Macaca mulatta: one gene and its partners. The protein of the gene in region 2 purifies or fractionates together with the protein of the main gene of each other region. This does not show direct contact. Links are inferred from orthologs where the notes say so. Each region holds a gene or a part of one and is shown on either strand. Other genes may lie near its edges.

What was found. The genes of interacting proteins can lie anywhere in the genome.
Region 1: the proteins of MAP3K5 (region 2) and STUB1 purify together in Homo sapiens (affinity purification with western blotting; 3 studies listed by BioGRID). This does not show direct contact. The link is inferred for Macaca mulatta from reciprocal best matches to the Homo sapiens genes MAP3K5 and STUB1.
Region 3: the proteins of MAP3K5 (region 2) and MAP2K3 purify together in Homo sapiens (co-immunoprecipitation; 4 studies listed by BioGRID and IntAct, with this or other methods). This does not show direct contact. The link is inferred for Macaca mulatta from reciprocal best matches to the Homo sapiens genes MAP3K5 and MAP2K3.

The regions. Positions count from the first base shown.
Region 1 is NC_133425.1:1,895,371-1,899,114, reverse strand, and holds the start of STUB1 (E3 ubiquitin-protein ligase CHIP), read right to left. Parts: upstream 2,554-3,744; coding exon 2,395-2,553; intron 2,007-2,394; exon of another isoform or gene 1,918-2,006; coding exon 1,719-1,917; intron 1,632-1,718; coding exon 1,466-1,631; intron 1,274-1,465; coding exon 1,186-1,273; intron 1,047-1,185; coding exon 990-1,046; intron 903-989; coding exon 786-902; coding exon of another isoform or gene 705-785; coding exon 579-704; 3' UTR 272-578; coding exon of another isoform or gene 191-271; intron 116-190; 3' UTR 113-115; coding exon of another isoform or gene 1-112. Other genes in the region: uncharacterized protein LOC106994901, read left to right, coding at 2,552-2,918, 2,960-3,084, 3,200-3,397, 3,646-3,744. UniProt on the Homo sapiens protein: E3 ubiquitin-protein ligase which targets misfolded chaperone substrates towards proteasomal degradation.
Region 2 is NC_133409.1:41,710,181-41,713,824, reverse strand, and holds part of MAP3K5 (mitogen-activated protein kinase kinase kinase 5), read left to right. Parts: intron 1-1,397; coding exon 1,398-1,555; intron 1,556-3,644. UniProt on the Homo sapiens protein: Serine/threonine kinase which acts as an essential component of the MAP kinase signal transduction pathway. Plays an important role in the cascades of cellular responses evoked by changes in the environment.
Region 3 is NC_133421.1:22,179,759-22,183,502, reverse strand, and holds the start of MAP2K3 (dual specificity mitogen-activated protein kinase kinase 3), read right to left. Parts: upstream 2,307-3,744; 5' UTR 2,186-2,306; coding exon 2,137-2,185; intron 1-2,136. UniProt on the Homo sapiens protein: Dual specificity kinase. Is activated by cytokines and environmental stress in vivo. Catalyzes the concomitant phosphorylation of a threonine and a tyrosine residue in the MAP kinase p38.

The DNA.
Region 1 (3,744 bases), on a different chromosome or scaffold from region 2:
GAAGACACCAGAGTTCCACCCCAACAAGACCACGCTGGCCTGGCTCCGGGACACATATCCAGCCCTGCCACCGTCTGCACGGCCCCTGGAGTGTACCATCCGGGCTGGTGAGGTCAGTGGCTGGCAGGAGAGGGCCAGGCCAGGCCAGAGGCCCCCAGCTAATCTGTGCTGCACCCCTTTTCTCCACCAGGTGCTGTACTTCCCTGACCGCTGGTGGCATGCCACACTCAACCTTGACACCAGCGTCTTCATCTCCACCTTCCTCGGCTAGCCAAAGCAGCTGGCAGGCATGCCTGCCACACACCAGCACGTCCCATCTCGTGCTCATGGATTTTATTACACAGACAGTGGCGGCAGTGGCTTCAGCCCAGCCCACCCTCACCTGCTTTTCCAGCCCACAAAGGAGGACAATCACGGCCCAGCAAGAGCTATGCTGAGAGGGGGAATAGTCCAGAGCCCAACAGCAGAACTTGAACTTGGAAGGGGCCAGGGTGGCCAGCAACACAAACTATGTACAGGGGTGGAGGGCTTCCGCCCAGGGCTCTCCTGGACCAGGATGCTGGGCAGGGCAAGGCATCTCAGTAGTCCTCCACCCAGCCATTCTCAGAGATGAATGCGTCAATGACTTCCTTCATGGCCAGGTTGGGGATGAGCTGTTCCTGGGTCAGGGGGCTCCGGGTCACGGGGTCAAAATGACCCACGCGCTGCAGTGACAAGAAGGGCAGAGGGCAGTCAGTGGGCCCAGGACCATGCTGCTGGCCCTGCTCCCCCAGCCGCAGCCTCACCTGCAGGTGCTCCTCGATGTCCTTGCGGTCGTAGGTGATGCCACTGGGCGTGATGCACGGCTCCCGCATCAGCTCAAAGCTGATCTTACCACACAGGTAGTCGGGGATGTCACGCTTCTGTGGCACAGGGGCACACGATCAGAGGCTGGGAAGGGGCACTGCTCCAGCACCTGCCACCCACCGCAGCAAGTGACAGACACTCACCTTCCTCTTCTCGTCCACCTGAGAGAAGAGCTCGTCCATGTCTGCCATGTACTTGTCCTGTGAAGAGTTGAGCACTGCACTTGTGCGGGACACCCCACCTCCCTCCTCCATGGGGCACAGACCCAACACAAGGCGGGGATGCTCCCACGCCAGGTGCACACACACAGACCCACATGTGGGAGGGGGGCACCCTCACATGCTTAGCCTCAATGCAGGCCTGCTGGGCCCGGACGTGGCTGTCGTCCTCATCACCCTCGTGGTTCCGCTGGCACTCTTCCAGCTCCCTGGGGGTTGACCAGGAGCCAGTAAGAGATGGACCTGGCCAGATGTCTGACCACACCCCAACCTCAGGGCTAACATTCATGCTTCTTCCCCACGTTTTCTGCTCGCCAGTGAAACCTTCAATAAACGCTCATGTTGGTAGTTGGTGATTCAGAATTATCCCAAGACAGGGCGACCTGGGGTGAGGGTCCCACCTCTCACGCTCCGCGGCAATGAGCCTGGAGAGGTAGGAGTGCAGCTCGCTCTCCTGGTGGATGCGCCGCTCCTCGATGCTATTCCAGCGCTTCTTCTTCGCGATTCGAAGAGCGCTGGGGATGTCGTCCCCGAAGTTCAGCCGCTGCTCCTTGGCCAGGCTGTAAGCTGGGGAACGGGGGCTTCAGGTCACTCTCTGGCCAGTCCACCCGCCTGGCCCCAGGGGCCCCACAACCGGGCAGCTTGTCAGCCAACCTCGCTGCAGATTGGCGATGGCCTCATCATAGCTCTCCATCTCCAGCTGGCACTGCCCCAGGAAGAAGTGCGCCTTCACAGACTGCCCGTCCAGTTCCAGGGCGCGCCGGCAGTCGGCCAGGGCCTGCTCGTGCTGCTGCATCTTCAGGTAGCACAGGGCACGGTTGGTGTAATATACGGCCACCAGCGGGTTCCGGGTCTAGGGACCAAGGCCGGGCCAGCCGCATGAGGGTGTAGGCTCAGCGCGCCCCCTCTGTCCCACGGCCCGTCCCAGCTTCTGCGCTCTGGCTAGAATCAAGAAACTAGGCTTCTCAGTCGTCAAAGCCCCTGGATCCAAGGATCTGCAGACAGTGGAGTACTGGCTGAGCCTATCCGCTTGACTCCACTTGGTTTTGTAAAGTTTTCCAAATCTTTGGAGAGTCCAGGCTTTGGACCTGGGATCCTCAAGGGGCGAGGGCCCCTGCCCTCCCCCCGACCCGGCCGGCCTCCATCCAGCATCCCACCCTCGTTCTCCGACACCCGGCGCTGGGCTCGGGAACCACGGCTGGGCTTTAGGAGCCCAGGACATGCCCCGCAGAGGAACCAGACCCTCGGTGGGGCCAGCCGGGCACGGGCCCGGCCCTCCCCGGCGCCGCCGCCGCCGCCGCCGCCGCCCTTCCCGCGCGAGCGCACTCACGATCGCGCGGCCGTAGCAGGCCGCCGCCTCCGGGTACTTTCGGCCCACGAACAGACGGTTGCCCTGCTCCTTGAGCTCCTGCGCACTCGGGCTCTTCTCGGGGCTTCCGCCGCCAGCGCCCAGCCGCGCGCCGCCCTCCTTCTCCTCCTTGCCCTTCATGGCGCCGCGCGGCACGGCCTGGGCTGCGCTCCCAAGCTCCGCGCCTGGCGGCCCAGCGCCTGCAGCCCGAGCCCCGCAGCCCGAACCCGCGATCCTCTCGGGCCCGGCCCAGCTCCACCGCCGGAACTTCCGGCCGGGGGCGGGACCAGCGGGGACGCACGGGTGGGGGCGAGTGGGGCCGCGCGTGCGCCCAATCAGCCTGGACGGGGACGCTAGGCCCGCGGCGTCGGGGGCTGGGAGGAACACTCCGGTTCCCTCGCTCGGCGCTCTTAAGGGTCGGCGTTCGCGGAGGCCCTGGCCCGCCCTGCTGAGGCCTCTTCGGAACCGGCCTCGGCGGCGACCGCCACACACATTCGACTTTCCCAGTGAGATGCCTTGGTTCGCTGAGGGCGCACTCCCCCAACAGCCTGTCCCGACCACCTGGCGTTCCGCCCCCGCCGCAACGCGCAGAGACCCCTCCCCAAGCAGCGGGCCCCATCCAGAGGCCCTTCCCCCGGCAGCCAGCCCCGCCCCCAGCAGCCCGCCCCATCGGCAGACGCCCCGCCCCCAACAGGCCGCCCCACCCAGAGGCCCCGCCCCCAGCAGCCAGCCCCTACCCAGAAGCCCCGCCCCCGGCAGCCGGCCCCGCCCCTCCGCGTGAACATAGTGGCTTCCCGCGCTGTTGGGTGTAAGGACCCCAGTCGCTGGGCCGCCATTCCGGAGCGCCATCGAGAGGTCCTACGGGCGCGCGCGGACCCCCGAGTGCGGCTGGAAGCCCTGGGCCGTTGGTAGAGTGGAAGGGGATAAAGGGATCGGTGGGCGAGCGCCCCCTGTGGCCGGACCTCCCCTCACCGCCCTTCCCCAGGTATCGGGAGGAGTTGCCAGCGGCCATCAGGGGCAGAGCGGAGAGCATGTGACAGGGAGCTGGAGCGGCTGCTGGCCTGGAAGCTGGCGGCGAGGGGCGGCCCGCCTCGAGGGCGGGGCCTCCGTAGGGCGGGTCTTCACCGGGGCGTGGCATCGGCGGGGCGGGGCCTCCAGAGCGGGTCTTCGTGGGGGCGGGGCCTCCCTGTGGGTCCACCACCCCGGGCACCCTGACCTGGCTTCTCACAGCAGCTGGTGACCACCAATCCCCCTGAGCTGGCTGTGCACTGTTCGACCACCACCTTCTGCCTCCTGCCAGATGTGGGCGCCGCGGTCACCCAGCTGTCTGCC
Region 2 (3,644 bases):
TGTCACTTTGGTTATGAATCAGAAAATACTGAAGCAGTTCTTTTGGCAAACACCTCATGATTTGAAGTAATTCAACATGGCATCTTGGATGAGTTCTTGTTTGCTGACTATATTATTTGTATATCAGAAGCAGGGTATGTGGTGATGTGTTTTTATTCATGCTTCTGACTCATTGCTAGACTTTGGGAAACCACTTTATGGGGTATTCGAAGTTCAAATCCAGCCTCTCATTTGGGTTAATGAGGTAATTGTAGTTGTGTGTTTACCTGGGATATACTTGGCCAGAAGCAGACTAAGGGCTCGTGGCCCTCTCCACTTAATTCTTTCCATTATGCCACACTCTCCACCAGTCTGATTCCATGCAACCTTAAATCTCTTCCCTTTTTATTTTATTCTTTTTTTTTTTTTTTTTTTCTGAGACAGAGTCTCACTCTGTTGCCCAGGCTGGAGTGCAGTAGCATGATCTCAGCTCACTGCAACCTCCACCTCCCAGGTTCAAGCGATTCTCCTGCCTCAGCCTCCTGAGTAGCTGGAATTACAGGCGCCCACCACCATGCCTAGCTAATTTTTGTATTTTTAGTAGAGACAGGGTTTCACCATGTTGGCCAGGCTGGTCTCAAACTCCTGATCTCGTGATCCGCCCGGCTCGGCCTCCCAAAGTGCTGGGATTACAGCACTTTGTGAGCCACCGCGCCCAGCCTTCATTTTATTGTTAGTCACTGTATCTGATGATGTGTCTGTATGGATGGCTCATGGCCTGTCTTTGATCTCTTAAACCTGTTAGTCCATGGACCACAGACAGCAGCAGGAGTCATGTATATTTGGATTACAGAATAGGGCACACCAGAAATGTATTTGCATTAATTTTCACAATGGCTTTCAGAATCTTCATGCTGTCATGATTAAGAAATAAGAATGAAAACAGAAGAGCTAAAGCATTCAATTTGGGAACTGAGAAATAGAGATAGAGCTAAGGAAATGGATGAATGAACTATATTCTTTTCTGGAAAAGATTAGAAGTATACATAATAACAGTCTTCATGCATTTGAAGAAATGTGTGCTGATGTTATTGTTCTCAAAAGACTAATTGTTAGAAGTTTGTAAGCGGCCCAGTGAAATGATGCCTCACTTATACTCCACTGTCTAGGGAATGAGAGCATACCTATTCAGAACCAGACAATATTGGCAAAGTAGTTTTATGTCACTGATGAAATCCATTATAAAAACTGCTATTTCCACTTTTATTAATAGCAGAGTAAACTGGAACTCACAAAATATATTAGGACTTGAATCATGTTTTTACAGTTATCTAACTCCTATAGAAAAATTGAAACTGTCATTAGATATCCTTCTGTTTTATCTTTTTAAAATGGAAATGTGTTTGAATTGCTTCCAGGTACCCTCCAGTATATGGCACCAGAAATAATAGATAAAGGACCAAGAGGCTATGGAAAAGCAGCAGACATCTGGTCTCTGGGCTGTACAATCATCGAAATGGCCACAGGAAAACCCCCATTTTATGAACTGGGAGAACCACAAGCAGCTATGTTCAAGGTCACACTTCATTTCTCTTAAAAACAAATGGATAAACCTTTTTATAGCTATTGGATGTTCTGTGTGTGTGTGTGTCATATTTTTTTAGATAAAGGGAGCTAAGTAAACACGAACTGAGAACACATTAAAGGTCAAGAAGAGTCTCTCTCAGTTAGAGCCAGCGCTGGTGCCTCACACAGTGGATCTCTCTGTGCCTTAGTTTTCTCAGCTATAAAGTGAGATTCAATGTAACTTCCATTGACCACCTTTTTTTTTTTTTTGAGACGGAGTCTCGCTCTGTCGCCCAGGCTGGAGTGCAGTGGCCGGATCTCAGCTCACTGCAAGCTCCACCTCCCAGGTTCACGCCATTCTCCTGCCTCAGCCTCCCGAGTAGCTGGGACTACAGGCGCCCACCACCTCACCCGGCTAGTTTTTTGTATTTTTTTTAGTAGAGACGGGGTTTCACTGTGTTAGCCAGGATGGTCTCGATCTCCTGATCTCGTGATCCGCCCGTCTCGGCCTCCCAAAGTGCTGGGATTACAGGCTTGAGCCACCGCGCCTGGCCTGACCACCTTTGAACAACACAGTATAAATAACACATGACTATACTGAAGATGATTTAAGCCCTTTGGGAAACAGTCTGAAAATTTTCCATGGAGGAAGATATAAGAACATTTTTTAATCTGTTTAGGAATTAAATCAAAATTAATAATTTCCTTTACTTCTCTACCATAATAGTTTGAAGGCTTCATTTTTTAAAAAAGAGCATAATTACCATTTTAAGTAAATCAATCTTATTCTCATATACTTACTCCTCTAGCTTGTTAATTTGGCCATCAGTAACTCCTATGGGAGGAGGAAGAAGCCCCACCTTTTGCAGTAGGAGGTACCTGATAATAGAAGTAGGCTTATGAGAGCACAAGTGCCAGCATTTTGGGATCTGGGGACTGAGCATGGCTATGACCTGCGTCTTGAATCCCTGCAGTCCTCCCCTGCCAGACTGCCAGGCCAACAGGGAGTTTGAAATGGAAACATGCTTCCCAAGTAGTAAAACTCACACGTCTGCTACTTTCTAAGGCAGAGAACTTAAAAAAAAAATTAATTAATTAATTAATTAATTAATTTATTTATTTATTGTGCTCTCCTGTGGTATCCAAGGCAGAGGACTTTTTTTTTTTTTTTTTTTTTGTGGAGACAAGAGTCTCAATCTGTCACCCAGGCTGGAGTGCAGTGGCGTGATCTCAGCTCACTGCAACCTCCGCCTCCTGAGTTCAAGCAATTCTCATGCCTCAGCCTCCTGAGTAGCTGGGATTGCAGACGTACACCACCACACCCAGCTAATTTTTTGTATTTTAGTCATGTTGCCCAGGCTGGTCTCAAACTCCTGAACTCAGGCCCTCCGCCTGCCTTGGCCTACCAAAGTGCCAGGATTACAGGCGTGAGCCACGCATTTGGCCTGAAAGGACTTTTGATGGTAATTGTTATTCCTCTCCCTGCTGCAGACCACGTTTCTAGCCCTTATTCCATCTGTGCGTAGCCTCTTATGAGGGGCCGTGTGTTTTGACAGACCTTCTGCTTTTGTGCAAAGCTTGGCTTTATGCTTGAAGACAATCTGATAGGATACTGCTGGTATAACAATGAGTAGTGTGACCAAACCTCAAAGAGCAATGACAGGTGCCAAGAGAGGTGCCTTTCTTGCCATGAGTGGATGTCTTTCTCTTCTTGGCCAGTCTTTCAGGTTTCCTCCAGTGTCTAGGACTTATCTGAAATGCTGCTTTATAATTCACGAATGCAGTGATTATTATACCATGTGTTTTGGTCACATTAGGGCCAGTCTAAGCTGTGCACAGGAAGTGATGCTATCTTAGAGAGACGGCGTGACATAGACTGTGGCACCAGTTTACAGTGTTTGAATCCAGGCTCCAGCATGGTCAAGATATTTGAGACTGAGCGAATTATTTAAACTGCTTGTGCCTCAGTTTCCTCATCTATAAAATAAGGATAAAAATAGTACCTATTGGCCAAGCATGGTGGCTCACACCTGTAATCCCAGCACTTTGGGAGGCCGAGGCAGGCAGATCACCTGAGTCGGGAGTTCAAGACCAGCCTG
Region 3 (3,744 bases), on a different chromosome or scaffold from region 2:
GAAGGCCACTGTGGGGATGCAGTCCTAGGGGGAACCCTAGCTCCGCCTGTCACAGCTGCGTGGCCTCAGGCAAGGCACTTAACGCCTCAGTTTCCTTATCTATAAATGAGGCTATGAGGAATAAATGAGAAAATGCATGGCACATGGAAAAAAAGAAGAAGCTCATAGGGTTTTTGGTGAAGGGCATTGCGGCTCTGTCACCACATCCTTCCCCAGATCCCAAAGAGACTACAGGGTCGCTGGGCCTGAGGGAGGTCCCTGACCCTCCATCCAGCTCCCTCAATTTCATCTGCGACCTGGGTCCCTATCTAGAAGTTCATCTTGGCCCTCTCACAGCGTTCTTACCACATCTATGACCCCTCTCCCTTCACAACTCTGCAACTGGAACTTTTATTTTGATCAGGCATTCTCTGCCTGGAGAGCTAAAAAGCCTCCAAAACAAACAGGGCTTCCTACCCTTCCCCAGGCTCTCCAGAGTGGAGAAGTGTCTGATTTCCTGGTTCCCAAGCTCCACGAGGTCTGGGCAGTGCAAGTCCCTCCCCAGACACCTCCCCCCTCAAGTGCCTCCTGAGTTACTCACAGTGGTTGGGCAATGGTCAGGGATCCGGCCTCCCACTTATGTAAGGCATAATTATCCTGCCCACCCGGCTCCAGCCACCACAGCAGCCAGCAGCAGGGGCCAGGAAGAGCCCGTGCCCTCCCCAAGCCCCCACAGGGCTCCCACTGGCCTGCGCCCTCCAGAGCAGAAGAGCGGCTGATCCCCGATGAGGGGCCCACTAGGTGCCCGCTGCTAGATGCTTCCTCCTGCTCACTCTGCGGCTGCAGTTCCAGCAGTGGAGGCCTTTCCAGCAAGAAGAATGGAAACAATAGCGAGATGTGTGCAGCCAGTGTCCCCTGGTGAGCGCCGGCTCTCCGCCAGGCGCTATGCTGAGTGAACACCTCAGAGCTCTTTTGTATTCACCACCCCACGCCACACTCCCGCGTCCACAGAAGCAGGTGTGATTACTTCCAATTTACAGAAAAGGAAACTGAGGCCCAGAGACACCAGGGAGCTTGCTGGGGTGAAGCAGCTGCAGGTTCAGCTAGGCAGGAGGCAGCCCATTCATTACGGCTACGTCCGGTTTGGAAATCTCTCACACAACCCAGCCTACTGAAACTCCGACGCACCAAAAACATCCTTTCCTCTTCCTGAAAAAAAAATTCCCCTTTTGCCCTCCGAGTCTCATCCTTCCCCCTCCGCATGACAAATCCTGCTGCTGCTGCCACCTCACAAAAATTTCCAGGAAGGCCAGCTACTTGGAGAAGAGCAAATCCCTTGCACAGCCAGCACCCTGGCCTGGCGGTTGGCCCAGATCCCAGGCAGCCAGGAGAGGAATAAGATGGGGTGAGAACCCCAAGTGCAGGGAGAAGCTTGCAACTCAAGACAGAGAGAAGCCAGTAGAGAGGGGGCTGTACCTTAGGGAGGGGTGGGAGGACAAGGGAGGTTCCTGGGAGCACAGGGCTGCAGGACAGGGTGCAGGCCAGCCAGGGAAGGGGCAACATAGGGCCTATAAGGATAAGAAGAGCTGGAGGAGAGAAGGACGGGGAGTTCCGAGCTGGGGTGTAGCCAGAGCACCCGCATAGCGGGTACAGTGAGGTCCGAAACAACAGAAGCACTCTGGGGCCCAGATGGAGACTTAAGTTAAATCCCAGCCTGGATACAGCCCTGGGACCCCAAGTTGGAAATGGGAGTGGGTGCTGCCCAAGGACGCAGATGGAGGCCAGTGTGAATCTCACCTGGGTCCCTCTGAGGGAGAAGACTGAGAGAGTTCCTGTCCAGGCTACAGCCATAAGGCCCAAATGAGGTCAGAGTGAGGCTCCTGACTTGGATGGGGTGAGCAGAACAAAGTCCTAGTCTGGGTCCAGCCTGGGTGATCTCGGGCCTGAATGCAGTCCCAAGGCCTAACCTGGGGGTCCAGGTGAGGACCCAGGCTGCGGCCGGTCCCGGGGCCCCGAACAGGAAGGGGTTCCGGGACCGGACGCCGCTGCCAGGTCGAGAACAGGATGGGGTGGGACCAAAGAAATTCGGTCGGGGTTTGCAGCCCGGCCCCAGATTGGGCGCGGGGTCAGGCCGAGGTTCCGGCCGGGATCGCCTACCTTTGGACTGGGGCATGCTGGCGGGCTGGCTTGAGGCGGGCGACTCCATGCTGCAAGCGGGTCCTGGACGGCGGTGGGGACTAATCTAGAGGACTGCGGGCTCCACCGGGGCCGAGCACGCTCATGGCTGCGGGCAGACGGCCCGGGCCAGGCGGAGGAGCAGAGGCGGCGGCGGCGACTACTGCAAGGACGAGTCCGCGACGGGCGGCGCCGGAGCCAGACTGGGCAGCGCCGGGGGGACCCCGGCCGAACGGCGCTGACTCAGGCCCCGCCCCTGCGTGTCCGATTGGCCCTTTCGTTTCCAAGGCCCGTCCCCTGCCTATCAGACGCCGGTCTGTCCCTGCCTGTCAATTACACGCCCCACCCTCCGTGGGCCCAGGATCCGGGCCCCTCCCGCTCTCTGTCAAGTCTGCCAGCCGCCCGAAAAACCCAAGTCCGGTCAGGCTCCGCCCACCTGGACTAAAGCCGCGCCCCTCGCGCTGCCCGTCAACACGCAAGCCCCACCCACTCCCGGGACCCACTGAGCCCGCTGCTCCTTGCAAGCGCCAGGCTCCGCCCAGCACCCCCAGACGCGCAGCCCCGGCGGGTGCGATGAGTGGGCGCGTTCTCCCGGGTGCGTCGTCTGGAAAAAACCCGAGATCCCTAAAGGTGGCACGGCTGGGCCTGGCGAGGCGGGCGGGGGTTAAAAGTGCGCTGCTGGGCTGCCTCCTGGCTCTCTGAACCTGCAGCTGCCTCACCCCAGCAAGCTCCCTGGTGTCTCTGGGCTTCAGTTTCCTTTTCTGTAAATTTGACCCGGGTTCAGATCCGAGTCGGCAACTTTGTAGCGGAACTAGCCTTGGTCAGGTCGTGACACCTGAGCCTCAGTCTACGCATCTGTGAGCGGGCGGCGGTGACAGCCGTCTGACGGCGCTGCTCGCTGACACGCACTGAGGGCCCGGCGCCAGCAAACGTCCGCCCGCGCCCGCGCTCCAGGCGCCCGGCCAGGGCGCGGGGTTGGTGGTGAGCTCAGCGATGCCCGGTGACGAGGCAACACGAGGAGTTGTCGTGGCTGGTTGTTGCTGCCCCTGTTCTACACCGGGGGAAACTGTCTCAGAGGGAGTGAGGCAGCATGCGGTGCATTTTATCCCACGAGCCCGGAGGCCCCATCCTGGCTCTCTCCTGGACCTTGGTTCTCTCCTCTCCTCCTAAGATCTCAGTCTGCCCATCTGTATAATGGCTGGATGGACCAGTCCTCTCTTTGCTCCCACACGGAACCTTGGGGGATTTCAGGAACCGCTGACCAATCTGGCGCTGGGATCAGATGACTCTGGATGTAAAGTCAGTGCTAGTGAAGGCAGAAGGTACCAGGCAAAGGTCAAGGGGTCAGCCCCTGGCCTCCAGGCAGACATGAGTGTGTACCCTGTCAGGGACCTCACGTGAGGGAAGCAGATTCCACCACCTGCTAGAAACGCTTGAGGCCGGGCCTGACCTCTGCTTGCCCAGGTGTAAAGTGGGGGTGATGCAGGGCCCCATGCACACAGAGTGGGGAGGGCCACATGAGATAGGAGGGAAGCCTTGCAGCCATCACCATTCTCTTCCTGCGTCTCCTGTTCACAGGCAGTGGGATGG